Linked DNA regions of Oreochromis niloticus. The protein of the gene in region 2 purifies or fractionates together with the protein of the main gene of each other region. This does not show direct contact. Links are inferred from orthologs where the notes say so. Each region holds a gene or a part of one and is shown on either strand. Other genes may lie near its edges.

Region 1 (7,228 bases), on a different chromosome or scaffold from region 2:
TTTCAGGACAAGGTGCTTATGACACACTGTTACACAGTAATAACAGTTTTACAACTGCCATATATCAACTATCAATTTACAATTAAAAATATGATCTCTGATGGATTATGGCATTCAGAAACGTAGCATTTAGACACAAACTACTGAGCTATACATGTCACACCTGGGCATGTACAGGATAAAATACACAAAGTTAACATTATCATATACCCTAGTTAAGGAAACCTTGTATGTTTCAGTGCTTGCAACAAAATCAGGAGTCTGGTAATCATTTTTTTTCCCATCATTATATTTGCTTGTTTCAGTCCACTTGGTTTGAATTAAAGCCATTTCTTTACAGCTCTGAAACCAATGTTTTCTAACTTTGCTTTGTCCATTTTTTTGCAGGACTGTTCTTGTTTTCAAATAACTGGAGATCATACCTTTATCCTGATCATAGCATTAGTGGCAGCTTTATACTTCCCAGGATCCCAAATTCAGTAATAGACTTGTCAAATTCATACACCATCATTTCCTGTCGGTCTTGCAACCTGCAGTATATTAACAGTGGCTGTCTTGATGCTGTTATCAACAGCTATATTTAACTTAATTGCATTTATGAATTTCAATCCTAGCACGCATGGTGGTGGCACTCACACCAAACTCCTGATTTGCATGGGTCATGTTCAAAGACCTACGTTTATGAAACCAGCATATAACATGCTATAAAAACTTTGCTTAAACTGTTTTCCCAGCTGACATCAGCTTGGTCCTTAGTCCATAAAATTAAAGTGTGTCCATAATGCTGTTTAACAAATTAGCTTTTAGATTTTGGTACTCAAAGTGAACTTCTAGTGTTGAGGTTAAATTATAGAAAATTGCTAAAATGAATTTAATTAATTTGCTTTTTCTTTTCCAAACAGTAGCACAAAGACATCATAAATTATTGACACTTGAGAGTGTGAACGATTATGTTGTTCCCATTAATTCTGGAATTAAAAGACCGCAGTCTAGGCTTACAGATGCGTTGCTTCTGCCTGATTCTGTTCAGTCACTACATGGTGCAGAGATCCTGATTTATTGTGTGCTGTTTACACTGTCTGTGCAATATGTGATGACTGAATAAAACTAAACTAAGCTAAGCTAAAATATGCATTAAACCATTTCATTTGCTTCTAAAGGAGTGGCAGAATCATGTAGAGCACTTAGAGCCTTATAGTGGTCCAGCAAGTTGCTAAAAATACAATGCATGATGTCTTTTCTTCCATTTATTACCCTTCATTCTCTACCTTTTATGTGCTTTTCGGGACCACAAAAGTACATTTTTTGACAGGCTTTTATGGAACTCACCCTTTCGTTTGTCAGCTGCTGGGGTTTCTTTTGATTTGTAACCATTTTTGCCATATTCTCCATCTACTGACAGCTGAGCTAAATGAGACTCCTCGTGTCATCATCTAGCTTAATGTTCAAGGTTCAAGCAAGACTCGCCCATTTGTCTGCTTTTAAGGGGAACGCTGTAGCTGTTAAATCTAACCATGTTAGTTTGTTTGAGGCAGAAAGAGGGGGAAATTGGTGCAATCAGTCGACTAATATGTCGCTTAAATCTATCGTTTTAAGGGTTTGATCCGCTGAGCATACTAAAAAGCACTTACAAATCAGGCTTATTATTGTATTATGTTATTACAAATCAGACTAATCTAACCAAATCATGACGTTGATGAAGAGAATGCCTGTGACTTTCCAGAGCCACTGCTCAGACAAATTGTTACCCTGCTCATCTCTTCTGTTAGTAGAGTGTAGAGCAAACAGCCCCTCGCTGCCTTCATCTAGCGAGGCTGCTGTCAAGCTGGTAACAACAGCAGCCAGCTACAGTATATTGCAATATTGTAAGCAAATAATCACCTGTTTGCAGCAGCCACTCAGAGGAGACTTGCAATCCCACAGTCCAGTGAGTGTTTGTCCATGACTACTGAACACATGGTGCACAGACAGACCACTATTTACAAGTCTGGTTTATTTTCTTGAGAAAAAAAAAAGTAGCTTGAGAAAGGTGCAGGTGTCCAAAATGCAGCATATATCTTATATATGATTCCATCCTCTGCTACCTATGAAGAAAAATTCTCCTTCCTGTCAGCGTGATGTGTAATGTTATATTTTATTCAGCCCATGTGAGATCCTCCGAAGCACAGGTGTACTGTAACATGCCAGAGTTCAGTCATAATATTGATGGATCTGGAAAGCTATATGTAATTCATGAGTGTTTGACACCTCTCAGAACCTGACAAAGATCCTTTAGGGATCAAGCTGTGCTGATAAAGGCTATGTTATGTATTACAGCCCCTTCAGTAGGCAGAGATTTCAAAAAGCATCCAAACCTGACGGAAATATGAACACTTCTGTCACTGACAGTATATTATTGGTGATGCATGTCTACACTGACATACTGGTGCAACTGCATGACACATTCAAGTCCATTTTTTCCTGTTATTATTTTCTAAATATATATCAAAATTTCTTAATATAAATTCATCTTAGATGATCTAAAATGATGAGGTATTTTTGATTCTTACCTCAGACTCATCTGTGGTTTCCTCACTTGGATGACTGACCTAAAAGCAGAAAAATGTTGGGTTGCTTTTAAAAATATATTAATGTTAAAGCATGGTTTCAAAGGCCATGGCTATTTATTTAGACATTAAATACATACCAAACAACTGCAAAGCTAAATTAGCACCTAAAATGTTAGCTTTCCAAGCTAGAGAATGGCTTGATGAGAAGCTAAATCAAATGAAACCACAGCTGACAGCTCTCACAGCCACACTTTGAATGCATTTTTGATGCAAGTGCGTTTAAAACAGAAACATTTAGCTAGCTAGCGTTAGCATTTGAGCTTACCTGCTCCTCCACTTCCGCCATTGTGATATTATTTAGCGATATATCCAAAGGTAACAGCTATAATACTTTAACAAATATTTTAAAAAATATCCGTTAAATCTCCGATAAAGGTTTGTTTCATCTCAGAAACACCCGATTTTGCGTGACAGCAAAGTGATATTTGTTGTCGAAACCTGCTTCCAGTCATGAGCTAAATCACATGACTTCAATTCGAGTATCAAGGCGTTATGGGTAATGAAGTCATTCAGATAGAGAAACGACAACGCGGATGCTCAGACAGAATAAAAGGAGACGATTACTTGAAAAACGATGCCAGGTGACAGTTTATAATGTGTTTTTCGTGGTTTTCGTGGCAAATACTTGTAGCAAGTTTTACTCGGTTTTAACAATCCAAGTGTCTCTTTTCTTAAGTGTCAGACGGAAAACTTGTGAAGAAAATGTCTTTTTTTCAGTTGAAGCTAACAGTCTTGAAACTGCAGCCAAATAACCCGCAGTAAAGCTAGGTATAACCATAAAGCACATCTTCACTGACAACATTAATAGACCAACCTTAAAAATTTGAACGGTCGCCAGATACAATAAATTAACCTGGACTAAAAGTCCTCCAAACTGTCCCCAAGGGGATGATAAAAAGGCTGATTTCTGCTGTCATTAAAAGGTATTCAAATAAGTGGCTAAAAGGAGCCAACTAAATCCACCCCCTTGTATACAGCTGAGTATTTTAATTTGTTGTATTTTATATTAATTGTCTGTAACATATCAGTGGCAAATACTGTAGTTTTTCCCTAGAGGAGAAATTTATATCATTTATAGTAAATATTAAAAATAGTTCAAAACGGTTCCAAACAGCATAAACATGCTACTTTTGCTTAAAGTCCATCAATACTATTACTTATAATTAAGTAGTTTTTACAAAAGTAATGGCTCTGAAGTAATCATGAGTATTATTACAAGAATTATTAGGCAACAGTATTTACTGTACACATTGTCCCCTTTTATATTGATTATTTACTGCCACTAGCCAGATATACAGTAGAATGTGAGGTAAAATACACAAAATTTTCTTCAAATAATTGAGCACTAATTGAATCTATAATCTCAAAATGATAACTTACAGGACTTTAAATTCATTCACAATCTCTCTTTGTCTTAATTGAGACAATTTGAATAAAACGGGACAGACAATCCTCTTTCCAGTACATTTGGAGCTATCACTAACTGAAATGATTAAGACTATTCGATTTAAATATGTGCAGATTTTTCTGAACGTGGTGGCTAAATTAACCCTTCAGCTATTGTTTGAGTCCCCTGGTTTCAGAAGAATATTAAATTATATTTTTGATACTTTAAATTTTACTGCCAAGACTGTATTGAAGATTCAAGACACTTTATTATCATTAAGCAAACATAATGAAATCAGGTAATACTTGCTCAGATGGTGAAAAAACCTTAGATAAAATAAATGTACTGACATAATATAAATATAAAATACAATATTTACTGACAAGCATTAAAGAGTAAAAAGTATTGGGACTTAATATTGCACGGTTGGACTGAACATGAGTTATTTATTTACAGGCTGTGCATCTGTCTGTGTAATGTATATGCCTGAGGGTTGTAATTGTGTGAAGCTGAGCAGTAAAAAAAAGTGCACTTTACATGAGTTATTTTACATATTATAAAATGTACACAGTGAGGTATGTCCCGAGTTATGGGATGTGGAATTGGGTAGTGGAATATTGCACATGAGGGTTGTACATAATTACTGTCACATGGTGTTTAGCAGTGTTACAGCTGTAGGAAAGAAGCTAAATATGTATTTGGATGCATCTTTACTCTTGATGGTAAAGAATATGAATACTTTGTCCACTTGGTAATAAGCAGTAATGGCATCCAGATTGTGCATTATTATGATGAGAAATAGCAGCTAAAAGTATTTATTGTGCCCCTTTTTGAGGTAAAATCTGTGGTAGATTAATATAAAATTAAAAGTACAGTACTTTTCTGAGGTTGTCTCCTATGCCTGCCTTAATAAAGGAAATCCCTGTGCATTCACTAATAAAGCAAACACAGTCAGCAAGACTTCCAGTAATAATTAGGCTATTTGTTTTATATATTTGCAGACTTCTCTGAACATGGTGGCTTCGGATATTGGTCGACTCGCCTGGTCCTCCGTCACTCTGCTGACAGCTGCTTGCCTGAGTCCAGATGAATGCCAAAGGTATGATTTGCCTCTTCTTTATTGAGATTGTCTCACACCCCTGTCTTGCCTCATCCATCCTCAGGAGAATCCTAATGCACTGATACCAAGGGGGAATAATTTTTTTTTTCTTTACAATCTGCTTAGCAATGATTTATTGATTGCGGCTTCCACCCTCACAGAGAATTACCGATCCTTTTTGGGAAATCAGATTTTCACACCTTTCATGAGTGTGTATGTGGCGCAGGTCTCCAGAGACAGTGTGAGGGGAAACTGACTTTGAGGAGCAGCAGTGTGTGAATCTCTGCGGTGTCGCTCCTCTGCTGCTGCCAGTGGTACGCCCAACGGATGGCCCTGTGATTCTCTGCTTCTCTCTCCATCTCTCTCTCTATAGTTTTGCATTATTTATCGCTCGATAAATACAGTATCCAAGCTTGATTTGTTTTCATTCCCTTTCAAACCTCCAAAACATATGCTTTGCCCGCTCTCCCATCATAAACATGCAAGAGCCCCGTCTAAAGTTTAAGCACCTCATGGACAAAAAAGGAAAATAATAAAAACAACCCTCGCCCTCATAGGAGGAGTCAGATTAGTGCACCGAAAGCTTTGATGCTCCAGAATGTCAGCTCGGTGGATCGATCCAGCAGAAAACACACACACACACACACACACCTGACCAATCAGAGGCGTCTATCTGTTGTGGACCTGCTGGGCACCGTGGTTTACAAGCTTCAAAGAGCTCCTTTTAATACACTGCTTTGATAGCCCTCAGCCTTCACTGACCCGCCGACCGTCCGCTGGGGAGCGTTTTAGCTTTAGTGGAGGAGAGAGGGATAACTGTTGATCATATTAACGAGCGTGAAAAGAAAAATCATCTCAAGTCTCGGATATTTACACCCCTGACCCCACGAGTCCCAATAACAGTCTGTTAGATCAGCTGCAGATAAAATAATACAAATTGGCTGCATTTTTCCAAGAGTAATTTAACACTATTAACAGCACTTGTTGAGATTTAGATGCACAAAGGCATGAAGTGGAAGCATAGACAGAAGAACAGTTTGGTTAATAACCCTAAGGGGGAGACAAATCATCACCTAACAAACCACATTACACATCTCCGTATGCTCGGTCATCACAGCGCATCCACATATTCATAAAATATATAATGATTGCTTCAAAAAGTGTTGATACATTATTTCTATGTAGACATATGTTTCATTTAAGGTGGAAAATAAAATGATTTACAAAATGTTAAAGAAACCTTATTTTAATCTTAAAGCAAATGAATAATTGCTGATATCAGGTGTTATTAATCTCAGCGTATGTGTCTGTTTGCATTACACAGGTCATTTCAGGTCCCAAAAAAATCAGATAATTAAAGTATTTACGTGCCTTTTAGGTCAGTCATAGCAGCAAATGAAGCTGTTGTGTGTGATTTCTCAGAGAACGGAGAACATTTGTCACCTCGGAAAGTCATGTTAACTGACAGAGCGAGCTGATGGTTTGACGTTACATTAATGTTTAAGGACAAAGAAAGCATGAAAGAGAATTTTGTCTTTCGGGTAGATTATAAACCTCATTCTGTCGTGCGTTTTTCAGAGCAGGCTGGTGTGCTGCAGCCTGTCCCAGGTTGAAATCACCCTACATATGTCTCCAGTATGTTGGAGATCATTTGAAGCTATTGAACTGTGCTTTAATTCCACACCTAATACTTACTCTAAACATGTTTTAACCTCTTGAATATTCTTCGTAATGCTGCTCAATAAACTGTTTTATAATTTGTTAAGTAGTGTGTGCCCATTGTTCAAACATAATATTTAGATTTTATACTTTTCTGGTTCGACTAATCCCAAATAACTAGGAGAAATTAAAAATGCATCCCAAACAAGAGCTTGGGTCTCAGGAGGTTAAATATTTATATATGTACAAAATTAACCATAGTTGTTAAAGATTCAGCAGACTGTGTGGTTCTTTTGCACTTTTCTTCCACAATGCAACTTTAAAAAAAACAAAGGAGCTTCAGAAGATTACAGAATATTTCATTATTTAATTTCAGTCTCACTTCATAAGGCTGGTTTTGTGAGAGAAAAGTTTGTTTTGGGACATATGGCTGCCACTAATGATCATTTTCATTATCAGTTTATCTCTAATATC
Region 2 (7,697 bases):
GGCTCCATCCAGTCAACCTAAATCTGGCTGGTGAGGATTTTTTTTTTTTTAATTCAGAAATCACAACAAGGCGTACTGAATTTGCAGTCGACATCCGACAGATCCCAGCAATCCTGAGATTTAGCTGAAAACGCCATCTGACCAGCACATTGATGTACATATAATTCAGATTCAACTTTTAGACTCAAAGGGAGCTGAAGAGAAAGTCTGAAACCTTAACCATAAGAAAACAGAGAAAAAGAACAGTTGCTTAATCAACAACAAAACTCCACATGGCATAACATCTGCCATCAGTTAAAGTGCAATACTGCCACCCACTATGTTTAAGTGTCAACCTGATAGTTACTGGTGCTGCACTACTTTTTTGTGTGCATTATTAATATTCTTTAAATATTTCATATTTTAAATATCACAGTTATCACCAACTCTGTTACATCACAAGTCTCCTAATATAGCAGAGAATGCTATTATCCGAGCCTCCTTTTAAAGCTAAGTCAGTAAACAGCTACAGGACGAGGGAACACTCGATTACCGGCACTCTAGCAAGAGCCTGCAGTGAGTTTCGGATTTGCTTGGGTGATGGTGATTCATCCTTGTATGCCCCAGAAGCAAGAGGTGGGACTGGCTGCTGATGCACCGGCCGGTTATGTTCCCTCGGTTTCTTCAAATCTTATGTCAGAGGTAACAGATAGGCGTATTAAATGTCTGTTTGTAGTCTTATGAGACAAAACTACATGGTTGATAAGATGAAAGAAAACACGTCAGGTCTCTTAGTCTTACTGCTGTTACTCTCTCCCCTGTGAAGATCTGGTTCAGCTGTGGGATATCTGACTCTCCCTCTTGTCCCACTAGCAAACTAGCAGGTACAATGCCCCTGGGTGTTTTTAACAAATCTGTGTTGGCAAACTGTTCTGGCCTGGAAGCTGCAACACTAACAGGAAGCTTCTGCGCAACTTTTGACAGAAAAACCTCTGTCGGGAGTCTTTTCTGTAGGCGTCACTCTGAAGACCATCACTGAAGCTGCAACATATGCAAAGCAGGGATTAGAATGAGTGCAATATAAGGGTCAGGGATTGGGAAGGGTAGTGGAAAGGTGGAAAAGGGGTTTCGAGATAAGCTAGTGTTAATTCTATTTTGGATGTTTAACTCCTCACTCTGCTGGGGGAACTTTGTTAAAAGGCCACATTCATTACTTCTGCTTTCTCCAATATGCCACACCATTTAGGCAGCTCGAATCACCACATTTGGATAAGTAAGTGAATCAATGCTTATCCACCGCTGATGAGAATAAGAAGATGAAGCCACTCCCCTCTGGAACTCGGCCGCAAATGGCAGAATAAAGTACCTCCTCTAACAGAATTTAAACACAGAACACAAAATCTGCTGAGATTTACAGTAAAAACTGTGTGATTTAGGCCCGAAGCTGCATGCATAGATGGTGACGAGCACAGAAAACATGGAGTCATGCACCTTTACCAACTGTGGCCATGGTAACAGCAAGATCAGAAGATGAGAATGAGAGTGATTAAACTCCGTGTGTGTGTGTGTGTGTGTGTGTGTGTGTGTGTGTGTGTGTGTGTGTGTGTGTGCGTGTGTGTGTGTGTGTGGAGTGTGTCTGCATAGTAGACCACACCTGTGCCAAATTTTCAGACCCATGCAGACCAGGTCATTGTTACAAATGTTGTAAAGAAACGTGGTTAAAGAAGAAGGGTATGGCTGCCTTGTATGCTTGTGTGTTAAATAATGCATACAGCATGCAAAGCACTTCGTTCCTCCATCTTTCCCCCCCACCTTTTCTCTAACTACCCATCATTCTTGCTCTTTTACTCTTGTTTTATGTGACCAGATGTGAAAACAACTGATCTCCTCCTATATTTTTTCTTAATTTCATTCCTTCTCTAGAAAACAACAATAGGCGAGCAGGCAGGGAGAAAAATACAAAGACAAGGGACATCAGGATAAAGGTGTCATCCAGTCACTACTGGGGCTGCTTATGTGCAAGGATGCAACTGCAGATATCGCTCAGACCATTCATTCAGTCTTTTCTCCCCTCCCCCATTTAATCCACATGCTTCAGGTCTGTAGGAGGAGTTGGGAGATGGTGGAACTGGAAGGCAGAGCCCAGCTTCCTTTCTCTGTCCTCTTTCCATATTAATGTCAGAATAAGAATGAACTAGTCCAACCCATTACAGCACACGCACACACACACACACACACACACACACACACACACACACACACACACACACACACACACACACACACACACACACACACAGATACACACTGCTTTGACATTCCAGGTTTAATAATAATAGCCCCAGGGTGCAGTATAAGATAGCATCACAACAAGTAGTCAACTGAATCACCTGCTCTGTGGCACAGCTGGAGTTGAGAAGCAGCCCTCCCCACATCAGTGATCAGCTTGACGTTTTTCCTCCATAGTCTGCAAGCCTCCAGCGTGCGCTCCTAAAAAATCCTGCAGCAACGCCCAGGGACTGCAACCACACAGTCTCCCACATGACTTACCAGGTCTGTTCTCTTACATCAGATCTACAACAACAAAGCACTTCATTTGCAGGAGGAGCCGGCCTCTAGTCTTGTTTTATTAAATCTTTTTTATAAAGGGAGATGGGGGCTGAACCTACTGAGGTACACCCAGAGTGTAGCCATTCATGAATAAACTTAGTCCATAATCATAACACCAAAGTAGGCAGTAGTAAATCAGTGCAACACCAGCTCTGCATGAATGACAGCAAAAAATAAAATAAATAAATAAAATTCTGCAGCAGGATCACGTCTTCGGAATGATGTCCCCCCCCAAAACCCCCCCACAAAGGATTCACTGAAATGTTCATTGTTATAATTGTAAGCTATAGGTTAATTAACAGCATGCATACTGAGTGCACTGCACACTCCCTCACAATCTTCCCCTTCATTCAAACGACTCAGTAAATAACAGGCTAATAAAAACCCATGATATGTGTTCCAGCAAATTAATAAAAACAGGCAATAAAACGAGCTCCCTAGTAAGCGATTTCTATTCCCCGTGTCTTCTGAATGAAATGCTGCATCCATTCAACTTGCACAGGCTAAAGAGAAATTACAATGGGCTGTCCAAACGCAATAATCTCACAGAAATGTTTCGGGTGAGGATGTAATGTTTGAAAATCCTTCGAAGGAGATCGCACAGCCTACCTGTGAATCCAGCCCTGCCTCTCTCGCCTCTCCTTCTCTCTCAGGGAGCTGTCAGGGAATGATGCGGACTAAATTTCTGTGCAGCGCTCGGATCCGACCACGGAGTTAGTCATTGCGCATGGTGCCCGTCACAAAAGCCTGTGGCTTTATTTATTTATTTTTCCTGGAAGAGTAGTCTGTTGCTGAAATGCACAGTGGATCACCCCAGTGCGTGGGAACTGGTCTTCTATCCTGCGCGGAGGATGGAAAGCCCTTGGTACCCTGGGCAGGAAACCCCTGGATGTGAAGTGATAACACTGATGCTCAAGTAGGCAGTCATCACCTGATCCAATTGTCTCCATAACACAGTGTCTAAATTTGTCTCATCATTCAGCAGTCTGTCTTTATGGCGCGTAAACATGGATTATAGCTTTAAAGTTTGATTTTTAAGCCGTTTTTTATTTGAGTCACTTTTTTTTTTGATTGTATTAAACAACCATTCTTCATATGTATGTGCCAACAAGAATCTTTATGTTTTCTGTATGATAACATTAGCAGAAACTTTTATTTCCCCTGTCACATCTTCTTCTTTTTCTCCTTCTTCTTGTCTTTTTTAAAAGATAGTTTTAACTATGTAATTTTCAAGAAAAAAAAAAGCCAAATTCCAACATCAGTGACTCAATTACAGGAGCTTGCCGGCGATTGAATCCTACTGTGAGGACACTGCGCCATCTAATGGATCCAATAATAATTGCGGAAAAGGATGAATGCATTTCTTTAGCTGAAGGTTTTGAATTATTCTAAAAGGATTCATTATTTTTTTATTATTCTAATAAGTTATTTGTTTGTAACGTGAATGAAATGAACAATCGTCACGGTCATAAATAACCGTAGTCACAGTGGTTATGGCCTGCACTTTGTGGTAGTTACAGTGTAGAGTTGCCACCAATGACTGTAGAAAGCACCTCCTCCCATTGTGCAAAAATGAAGCCAAATCCCGCTTGTGAATTTGGACACAGCTTCCACACCTACTCGCAAAAAGAAGAGTACAGGAGGATTGAAACAGTACCTCCTCTGCGCTTCCTTCATCGTATTTAAAAGCATACTTGAACAGGAAACATTTCTGATGTTATTCTGTCGATGTCTACGCTTAAAAAGTATAATTTAAACAATGCTGAGACTCGGTATGAGACATGAGTATTTCTCTTAGCTGTTTAAGTAATTTTTCTTACCGAGCAACATCTACGCATGCGTGAAACCCGTATTTCCCGTTATGCTATTTTAGTTTTTGCATTTAACTTTTATTTATTATTACCGTAGACTGCAAACAGATAGTGCCGACATGAATTTGTCGGTGCATTAGTGAAGTGGAAGTGTTTGAGTGCACATTTTCACAGTGTTTAGGCTCAATTGTGGCGTTTTCTACAATCACTGGTGTGAACTAGCTTGACTTTCTTTGGTCACATGATGCGACTACGCTGAAGTCACCTGATTTGTTGTGCTGCTAGTAAGGAAAAAATGGCTGCTCACTTGTCGTACGGTAGAGTGAATTTAAACATATTGAGAGAAGCAGCACGAAAAGAGCTTCGAGAGTTTTTGGACAAATGCGCAGGAAGCAAGGTGACAAACCCGCATACGCCTGTGAAATGTAGTCCAAACACTGGTAGTTAATGTGGTCTCTGAGGCTCAGCGTTACCATGCGACTGTCAGTTAACATTATAGTCATAGTTTTATTTTGAATGTGTAAAACAATACAGATAACGCAGACATATTTCTGTGTAGGTGCGTCGTATTATAAAATATTCGAGCTACTAGCTAAGTAACAGTTAGCAAGTATCGCCTGACAGAACATCTTCAGTTCTGCTTACTCACGATTCAAAGCTTTGTGTGCTCTTACTCTTTCTTTAGGCCATAGTTTGGGACGAATATCTGACGGGACCGTTTGGACTAATAGCTCAGTACTCTCTGTTGAAGGTAAGTGCTTTCTGTTTACAAACCCATTTCTAAAAATGTTAGGAAGCCGTGCTTTGTGGGAATGCAATGATTTGCAAATCTCCTAAACCAATATATTATTTACATTAAAAAAATAGAAAACGTCAGAGCTTTCTACTGTTTAATGAAAAAATATTAGGCCATTTTGAGTGTGATGGCAACAAGACAACTGAACGTTGGTACAAGAAGAACAGTCTGGAAAAGTAATTGGTACTAAAATGAAATAGCTGGAGGAACATTTGGCAACAGGTCAGTAACATGATTGGTACATATCAGCCAGAGATTCAGAGAATCTGAAGGAATCTCTGTGGACAAGGGACGAAAAACACTCAGGTGCCGCTGCATTAAAAACACACATGGTTCTGTCATGAAAACCGCTGCATAGGTTCATGAACACTTCCAGAAATAATTGTCTGTGAACACAGATCACCATGCTATCCAAAACTAGAGGTTAAAGGTCTGTCACGCAAAGAAGAAGCCATGGTTGAACATGAAATGCTACTGTCTGCTAATTGTGGAAAACTATTCTGTGGTCAGATGAATTAAGACTTTAAATTATTTTTGCAAAACATGTATGTTGTGTCCTCAGGACTAAACAGAAAAGGCAGCATCTGACTTATTATCAGCACTGAGTTCAAAAACCTGCACCTGTGATGGAGCTGCATTCATGCCTGTGGAATTGGTAGTCTACATATCTAGCAATGCTGAAAACAGGTTTTACATATGCTCCTATCCAGACTGGATAGGACAGCAGTCTTTTTGCACATTTCATCAAAAGACTCCTAAACCGCATTAAGCATCTATTACAACAGCATGCATTCATAGTTGAAGAGTCTACTGAACTGTCCTGCCTACATTCTAGACTTTTCAACAGCTGAAAGCATTTGGCACATCGTGAAATCAAAAATGCAACAAATTAGACTCAGAAGTGTTGACGTATTGGTGTCGCCAAATTAAAAATCATCAAATATTTTTCTTGGTCCATTTTCTTATTTTAAATCTTTTATGTTTTATGTTATTTTCTAGTGTAAAAGAAATATGTGTTCATGAGATTTTCAAATCTTGGAATTCTGTATTTATTTGCACATTATTTTTTGGAAGTGGGTGCACAATTTATGTCTCAATTAACTCAGACAACAGACAAGGCCCACATGTCTTATTATCTAGTTTCTTTTAACACTAATGTCATGTGTCTAATGTTGCTGAGGGTGTTGTTTTAACTTGTCGTTTATTATGGTGTGTTCAGGAACATGAAGTGGAAAAGATGTTCACCCTCAAGCATGGGAGGCTTCCCCCTGCTGATGTCAAAAATATCATCTTTTTTGTCCGGCCCAGACTGGAACTTATGGACATCATTGCAGACAATATAACTAGGTGAGTGTATGTGTCTCATCCTCAATCTGTGATAAAGACAAGGTTTTGTTTTCTTGTCCTTTCTCTCACTTTGCATAGCTATCCACACTTTGCAACATGAATTGTGCTACTCTTTAGTGAGGATAGACACCATTCATCCCGAGACTTTCATATTTTGTTCGTGCCTCGGCGGAGCATGCTGTGCGAACAGCGGCTAAAGGAGCAGGGCGTGCTGGGCTCTTTCATCAACATCGATGAGTATATCCTGGACCTGATTCCCTACGATGGGGACCTGCTGTCCATGGAGTATGAAAGTGCTTTCAGGGTGTGTTCAGGTTGCACAGTACAAATATGTATCATCCACTTGCTTTGGTGGAATCTCTCATATACACATAAATTACTCCCCTTTGTCGCACTCAGGAGTGCTACCTGGAAAATGACCAAACAAGCCTGTACCACACAGCCAAAGGCCTCATGACCTTGCAGGCTCTGTATGGCACCATTCCACAGATATATGGGAAAGGAGAATGTGCACGGGTGAGCATGGTGTAACCTTCAATAATTTCTGTTTTATATGAAAGCAGAGGCTCTGCAGGAGCGAGGTAAATACATTTTTCTGATAAACAAATCCTCTGCTTGTTATCAGCTCGTTGCCAACATGATGTTGAGGATGAAGAGGGAGTTTGCTGGCAGTCAGAATCAGATTCTGCCCGTGTTCGATACCCTACTTCTCCTTGATCGTAACGTTGACCTGCTCACCCCTCTGGCCACACAGCTCACCTATGAGGGTCTCATTGACGAGATTTACGGAATCAATAATGGTATGAATAAATCATTTAGAGTTCTTACTCTTATGTTTGCATGTTGAGCCTCAGTAATATTTATTGTTTCTGACATCTGCATATCCCGCTGTTTCTTTCGGAACTTTATTTTTAATGAAAAGCAGAGCAGGATTACACTTGAACATTAAAATTAATCTTCTTTTTTTCTCCAATATTTGACATATTGCTCATATTGTAGTGTTGAGGTGGAGGTTAGTTTCTCCAGCAGTTTGATGATGTCTGCAGTCTAGTGATCCTTGTTTGGATGCTTGCCTGCAGACATTTCTGTGTGGTAGCTTTTCATGCTAGTACTGTCACTATCCTGAGCCAAAAGTTTTTCAGAGATTTTTCACT
Region 3 (7,234 bases), on a different chromosome or scaffold from region 2:
TTAAAAGAACGATATCGGATACAAGTGGTAGAAACAAGCTTCCTTTGATGGGTGGTTGGGCTTTCCCTTAGAGGGTGAGGAGCTTGGTCGTTTAGGAGGAACGCTGGAAGTAGAGCCACTCCTCCTTATAGAAAGAAGCCAGTTAAGGTGCTGGACATCTAATTAGGATGCCTCCTAAACATCTTCTTGATGAGGTTTTGCAGGCATGTCCTACCAGGAGGAGACCCCAGGGCAGACCCAGGATACACTGGAGGGTTTACATCTCAACACTTTGATGCCTCCCTGCCAGGTGAGCTGAAGGAGGTAAAGAAAAGGAAGGTTTGGGCTTCCCTACCTACCTGCTGTTCCTACAACCGAGAGCCTGATAAAGGGCAGAAGGTGGATGGAAGGAAGATACTGTTTAAGACGTTTTGTCTTTAAGATAAGGAGATTGACATTTCTTGAAAATCTCTCCTTGACAGTACAGCTGAGGATTGCTGGTGTTTACATTTAAAGGCATGAGACTTGGATCTTGGGTTGCCTGAAAGCTTATGTGCTCTGACACAAAAAGATTAACAAAGCAGATATACGTCTTTATATCAACAGCACAATTTTATTGAGTGTCCTGTTGCACTACTATAGTAACACTTTATCATAAAGTTTACCAATTTATATTTGACCTATTAGGGGATTGCTTTCCTCACACCCTCATGCTCAAACAGTAGGAGCTAATGATGTTAGCACTAGCTAGCTTCCCAAACCCAGAGGCAGCAGCGAAAAAAAATAAATAAATCACTGTTGACAGTGAGTGTCTGAAGGTGAGACATTCGTCATTAGGACATGAGTCATGTGAGGAAGTCGTGGCCAGTTTTTAATCGGATAGGTTGTTTCAGTACCACGTACCTGAGCTCTTTCGGCTAAAGTTAGCTTCTACACAGTGTTCTCTTGCTATGCTAACGCTAGCAAGCTAATTTAAAGCTAGGCTACATTTGCAGTGTGGTTAAAGCTCCAAGGCTACAACCCTCACGGAGTGTCCGCCCAAGGAAAATCAACCTGTTTTCCAGTCAATCTCCCCTTCACTGACATGATGCTCTGTGCGCCCACACCCTGCCCAGTTTCTCCCGGAGCAGCTGGCGTAGCCAGCAGACCTACCTATCAATGCAGGCGGCGCTCGGGACGGCAGGCCGGAGTCACTACACGCAGAAAAGCCTCAGTACTCCGAAAACCAGTACATGAACTCACACCTAAACGTCAACACTGCCATGCTGCTCGGGGTCTCTACCCCACCGACAGCCGGATAATACAAGCTGAATGGCAGCCAGCGAGTTCCTGCTTATCCAATATGAAACGCCGCCCATTTGCATTGCACCCCTGCTGGCTGCAGGTGATATAGTGGTGCGTTCACTGTTGTTACGAGTTTTTCAACAGTAGCCACTTCTAAGAAACCACCTGGAGCAATGTTATTGTGAGGCAGATGCATCACCGCTATTCATTGTTTACCTCTCCACATATAAAATATTTAAACTAGACAGTCTAAGGAGCTTGGAAAGAAAAACGTCTGGACTTCCAAGCTCCTTAGACTACGATGACCCGGATGACTGAGAACCTTCACAGACATTTAAACTAAACACAGATGTATCAATATATTTCAGTGATTAACAATTAATATCTCTGGTGATGCTCATAGCTGACAAGTGCGTTACAATGACAAGAGCCAAACAAATATCAGAGGTGATTAAGTGTCTCTAAACTGGTCCTAGCAGCATGTGTGCAAGAAAATGCATGCCATAACAGTAAACGTGTACTCAGTAGAATTAGTAAGGGCTGCTGTTGCATTTAAAGTCATCCAGACTCACTACCTCTGCTCCTCACTGTTACACCCATCTCCTTCTCATTCATTCTGTCATGCTTCCACTGACTTTCATTCCTCTTCTCTCCAGAGAACGCCTCAATTTTTCCTCCGTAGAGTTCTTATTATGACTAAAGCTTCTTAATTTAATGACTAATGCAAAAAAAAAGTTGCTGTCCTTTTGATGGCAAACTGATTTATTGTTACTGATATTTAAGTTAACTACACAGTATCTTAGAATATTTGACCAATTTGTTCTGACAGTAAAATGCACCATATGTCACTGAACGCAACCCGGCCGGTTTTCACCCAAGATGCACCTGTCCAACTGAACCGTCTGAGAAAAGCCATTTTGTTGTGCTAGCTAGCTTCATGGTAAAGAAAGCCAGCAGTAATTTGGGATTTTTATGTCAGCGCTAACGATGTCGCGTTTATGTGTTAGTGTACTGTCGCAAAATACAACAGTTAAACTCGTGGAGGCCTGTAAGTAGCCGATGGAGATATGAACTAGCTTATGAAGCTACGGCGCTGAGGAGAAGACGAAAAGTGTTTGCTAAAGTGTGCTGCAGGTTCAGATAACATACTGTTAGCTAGCAGTGTGTTTACTTAGGTAGGAGAGTGGCACATTTACCAGGTAGGAGGTAGTTATGTTTTCGGATTAGTTAACCTCGCGCTAAGTCATTTTTTCCCGTGAATGTGTTTTAAATAGGCTGCGAGTGCCTGTGCTGTCAACCAAAGACAAGTAGCTTAATATAGAGGCTGCCCCCCCTGACAGCGAGTAAACATCCCGGCAGTAAGTTAGCAAAACACTTGAACCATACAGCGATAAGCCAAAGCGCTAATCTGATAATGGCAGAGGACACCCGACAGGACAAGAGGGCCAGCTTCTCTATAACGGAGCACAGTGCTAACGGGATGGCCAGGACCTCCGCTGTGGCCTCAGGCAAAACCGGCACGTCAAAGAAACTAGTGATCAAAAATTTCAAAGGTACTGTCACTGAGCCTCTTCTAATGCGTTACCTAACAGCAGCAGTTACACAGAGATACCATAGCACGACATACGATGTTGCTTTCAGATAATGCCTGTAAAAAGATAAACAAACGAAAAAAAGTTAGTGCCCTGCTCAAGCACTCACATGTCACCTTTAACCAGGGCTTGCTCCTGATAAACTGATATGCATTTTCCATTATGCTGCATATCTGTTTGTGCCAAATCCACCAGCCATGGAGTTTTGGGCCACTCCTAAATCCCAGCACCTGTTGGATAAAGTAAAAGCGCGAGGTTTTATATCTGACATAACTAATCATTGAACGAATTGATCGTCTCAAAGATACTGCTGTTCTGTCAGTCCATTATTTCGCACCAAAAAGGGTGGGTGGGTGGGAAACTTAAATAAGAGGTTTACTTGTTTTAAGTCAAGGTTGATGTTAATATTGAGAAGTTACAGCACTTCACTTTACAATTAACCATTTACTTTGGACATTTTAGAAATGAAATTTTTTTTTGTGTGGAAAAAGATCGGCAAATAAATAAATGTTAATAAATGATTGAGTCAGAGAGACAAGTAAATTTGCTTTGTTCAATTTCCAGCAGGATAAATGTTTATTTGCCAACATAGCTGAGAGTCCAAAGTGTGTGGAGGTACTCCCTCTTTAGGTTATTGTCGGTCGTCCCAGTGTTGATGGCTTCATAAATACAGTAAAGCTATTGTGGAGTTGTATCAAAACTTCCTTTCCTTACCTTCAACATATGACAGAGAACTTTGAAAATGTCATTGAACATTTATCCATCAGGTTTTATCATTTCCACATTTAGAGCATTTGTAATAAACATGGTAATATATGATGTGCCCACATCCTAGTATGGTCATATTTTAGTCCTATAAGTGAGTCTTGTTGTATTTTTGTAAACAGATAGGCCAAAACTAGCAGAGAACTACACCGAGGACACGTGGCTGAAGCTGCGAGATGCGGTGGGTGCAATCCAGAACAGCACCTCCATCAAGTATAACCTGGAGGAGCTCTATCAGGTTTGCTGTTTGTCTTTTTAACTATCAAACTAGAATTAGACGTATTTTCTTCACACCCTGAGTAATGTGTTGCACTGCCGGGCCTTAAAAACATGTTGGTACAGAACAATTGAGCATGTCAAGCTCAAATGCTTTGCAGTCTCGACATTTTTTAACACCATAAAGCCACAGAATATTAAATGAGTCTGAAGTTGAAGAACAGCCGAGGATTAAAATAAACTTGTGAAGACTTGTCATTTGTTTTGTGCGTGTTGCATCACGTGCAGGACGTCTGCTGATGTGTTTGTTTGCTTTTAAACTGTTATGCATCTCAAAGGCTTTCACCACATTTTCACATAATTCTATGTTTGTGTTTCACTAATAGTGTTAAAGTCAATGTTATTATTCTCCAAATCACCTGTCTGTCCTGTGTTTTCTTTGTTTCTGCTGCACTTGAAGGCGGTGGAGAACCTGTGCTCGTATAAAGTCTCACCCACTCTGTACAAGCAGCTTCGGCAAGTCTGTGAAGATCACGTGCAGGCCCAGATCCACCAGTTTAGAGAATATCCTTTTTTATGTGCACAGGCATGTCAGGCAATCTATGTGCTAAACGTGCTGAAATATTGAAGCAGGTAGGATCTGTCTGATATCTTCTTTACTAAAAACCAAAATGATTCTCAGCTAACTGTGGAGTGAAATCCTGTCAGTATATGTTATATGCACTGACATGATAATAACAAGTTTCTCACTATAAGAGATAAACATCTAAATTAGTTCAGTTGGGTGAGGGTTAAAATCTGTAACCGGACACTAGTTTCCAGATGTTGTTCATCTGCGTGCAGACAAGAGTTGGGTATTGCTTATATAGTGAGTAGCAATTTGTTTGAGATCTGCTGCACACAGATAAGATAAAGCAGTGCTCCACTTTGTTTATAAATCTGCAGTTGGGACCTCAAGGTGGATTTTGCTTGGAATTTATTGGTAGCTTTACTCTTTCAATGATATCTGGGGTCTGCTGGCAGACGTCAAGCGATGCTCAATGTGTAGTTTGGCACCTACACTGTAGGTCTTTGCATGTATAGGTTTGATTGAATTTAATAATCGCATTTAATAACACTGGTTGGGCAGCTTTTTGAAGTTTGTTCTTTTAAGTATTAAGAGGAAGTTAGATAAACATGCTTTGTCACTATATCTCATTAGAGGTACTGTAATATTATTCAGAGCTGGGGTTTGATGCCTCAGTAAAAGATTTTCTTTAACTTGAACCTCACAGAGTCTTTGGACAACCTTTCCTTCCTGAAGCGAATGAATCGCTGCTGGCAGGACCACTGTAGGCAAACTGTGAGTGTGATGTTTGATAGATATGCATTTAAATATGCTCTGCTCAAACCTTAGTGGACTGTAGGAATGTTAATCTAATGATTCTCTGTAGATAATGATCCGGAGCATCTTTCTCTTCCTGGATCGTACCTATGTGCTGCAGAACTCTCTACTCCCTTCCATCTGGTAAAATTATAGTTAATTCAAGTCACTGTGTCTTTAAAGATGTTCCCAGAAAGCTGATGTTATGTATTCGCTGCAGGGACACCGGTTTGGAGCTGTTTCGCACCCACATTGTGAGCGACAGTGCTGTTCAAAAGCGAACAGTGGAAGGCATTTTGGAGCAGATTGAACTGGAGCGGAACGGAGAGACCGTGGACCGGAGTCTGCTTAGGAGTCTTCTTGGCATGCTGTCAGACCTGCAGGTACACAATCGCCTCTTCGTCACGTGCGCGCTTAGAGTGCATGCCAGTATTTCTCCATCATGACTCTCAACTCTTGTTAGGTTTACAAAGACTCCTTTGAGGAGAGATTTTTGACTGAGACCAATCGTCTGTATGCAGCAGAGGGACAGCGTCTGATGCAGGAGAGAGACGTGAGTGAGACCACCAGTGGGTGTGTGTGTCATGTGATTGTCATCAGCAGTACTGAGTGTGTGTGTTTGTGTGTGTTCAGGTACCCGAGTACCTGCACCACGTGGCTCGTCGGTTGGAGGAGGAAAATGATCGAATCGTGAGCTACCTCGATCAAAGCACTCAGTAATGTTTTTTATTTATTTACTTATTTATTTATTTGGATTTTTATTATATTATGGCATATTACTGAGACATCCAACATCAGCTATACCAGCTTATCCTTTTCAAGGGTTGCTGGAGCTTAAGGAAGGTAAAATTGCCTACTCACCATTTAAAACAGCTCTAAAGCAACATTCAGAAAGAACATTTAAAAACCATTCATTACCATATAGTGATATAGAAACTGCTAAATGGGGTTTAGTTTTGAGTCAGAAGACCAGTGGTGCCTTAAAGTGTCAACAAGCACTGTTATAGAAGATTGCAATCACAAACTTTGACACTACTACACTATTTTTTCTTCCACAACTACCCATGCAATCAGAAAGTTCTTCTTTTGATTCTATTTAAATAAAAAAAATCTACATGTTTTGGTTGGTTTACTCATTTATGATTGTCTCAGTCTCACCCTGGAAGTTCCCTTCTGACCACGTGCAGCTTTGCATCTGCATTTTAACTGTGCAGCTCTAACTTGCACAAAATGCAAATTGATGTGAGCGTTTATGTAAAGGATCATCACTGTGGATGAGAACTCTGACCACAACTCAGACATCAAACAGCATGTTTCAGTAAAACAGTCCACAGTCTGCAAGCCCGTATGAGGTGCTTGCTCCTTATTTTTCCATTGTCCACAGGGTTGTGCAGGACTTACTGATTATATTTGGTGCACATAACTTGAATTTTTTTAGCCCCACGAACACACCACTACTGAGCACCAGCTAAATTTGTTTCCTTCTGACTTCATCCTCCTCTTCAAATTGCAATTTAAGCTGAAGGATCTTTTGACGCTATGGGGGAGGGAATCCAGTGTGCATCACAAAAGTGCATCTGCATATGGAACAAACTGGATTCCCACAGAGCCATTTAAAAAAACAGCAGTCATGCTGGAAGTGGTGAATGAATTCGAAAGGAGACGATCCTGAAGGAATAATTGGCTAAATATTTATTATTTGTTTTTCTTATATTGTTTTCTTTGTTTCACAGGAAACCTCTCATTAGCTGTGTTGAGAAACAGCTGTTAGGAGAACATATGACTGCAATACTGCAAAAGGGTATGTCTGTGTGAAAGGTTTTGCAAACAACCACAAACAAACAGACGTGGTGCTGGGTTTCTGTTAAACTGGTACACATCAGTATTCTTTTCTTTTTTTTGTCCTTTAGCAACTTTTTTAGTGCTTTTTCTTTTTTAGTTGAGCTGTCCTGCCTGTAGAGCTGTACCCTGTTTTTATGCACACAATTAAACATTTTCAGTATGTAAAATGCACTCATGTTTGTGACAGGTCTGA

What was found.
Region 1: the proteins of vps33a (region 2) and vps41 purify together in Homo sapiens (affinity purification with mass spectrometry; 5 studies listed by BioGRID and IntAct, counting the BioPlex papers as one, with this or other methods). This does not show direct contact. The link is inferred for Oreochromis niloticus from reciprocal best matches to the Homo sapiens genes VPS33A and VPS41.
Region 3: the proteins of vps33a (region 2) and tgfbrap1 purify together in Homo sapiens (co-immunoprecipitation; 5 studies listed by BioGRID and IntAct, with this or other methods). This does not show direct contact. The link is inferred for Oreochromis niloticus from reciprocal best matches to the Homo sapiens genes VPS33A and TGFBRAP1.

What each region holds. Positions count from the first base shown.
Region 1 is NC_031974.2:15,255,485-15,262,712, reverse strand, and holds the start of vps41 (vacuolar protein sorting-associated protein 41 homolog), read right to left. Parts: upstream 3,067-7,228; 5' UTR 2,896-3,066; coding exon 2,875-2,895; intron 2,589-2,874; coding exon 2,550-2,588; intron 1-2,549. Other genes in the region: pou6f2 (POU domain, class 6, transcription factor 2), read left to right, coding at 3,143-3,190, 4,998-5,095. UniProt on the Homo sapiens protein: Plays a role in vesicle-mediated protein trafficking to lysosomal compartments including the endocytic membrane transport and autophagic pathways. Acts as a component of the HOPS endosomal tethering complex.
Region 2 is NC_031977.2:12,418,249-12,425,945, reverse strand, and holds the start of vps33a (vacuolar protein sorting-associated protein 33A), read left to right. Parts: upstream 1-4,631; 5' UTR 4,632-4,695; coding exon 4,696-4,797; intron 4,798-4,874; exon of another isoform or gene 4,875-4,959; intron 4,960-5,085; coding exon 5,086-5,151; intron 5,152-6,415; coding exon 6,416-6,543; intron 6,544-6,660; coding exon 6,661-6,847; intron 6,848-6,942; coding exon 6,943-7,059; intron 7,060-7,168; coding exon 7,169-7,343; intron 7,344-7,697.
Region 3 is NC_031965.2:16,372,577-16,379,810, forward strand, and holds the start of tgfbrap1 (transforming growth factor-beta receptor-associated protein 1 homolog), read right to left. Parts: upstream 3,089-7,234; 5' UTR 3,017-3,088; coding exon 2,965-3,016; intron 2,817-2,964; coding exon of another isoform or gene 2,678-2,816; exon of another isoform or gene 2,142-2,677; intron 1,369-2,141; exon of another isoform or gene 1,132-1,368; intron 1-1,131. Other genes in the region: cul4a (cullin-4A), read left to right, coding at 2,678-2,816, 3,743-3,858, 4,297-4,400, 5,109-5,178, 5,270-5,343, 5,420-5,582, 5,663-5,752, 5,833-5,915 and 2 more. UniProt on the Homo sapiens protein: Plays a role in the TGF-beta/activin signaling pathway. It associates with inactive heteromeric TGF-beta and activin receptor complexes, mainly through the type II receptor, and is released upon activation of signaling.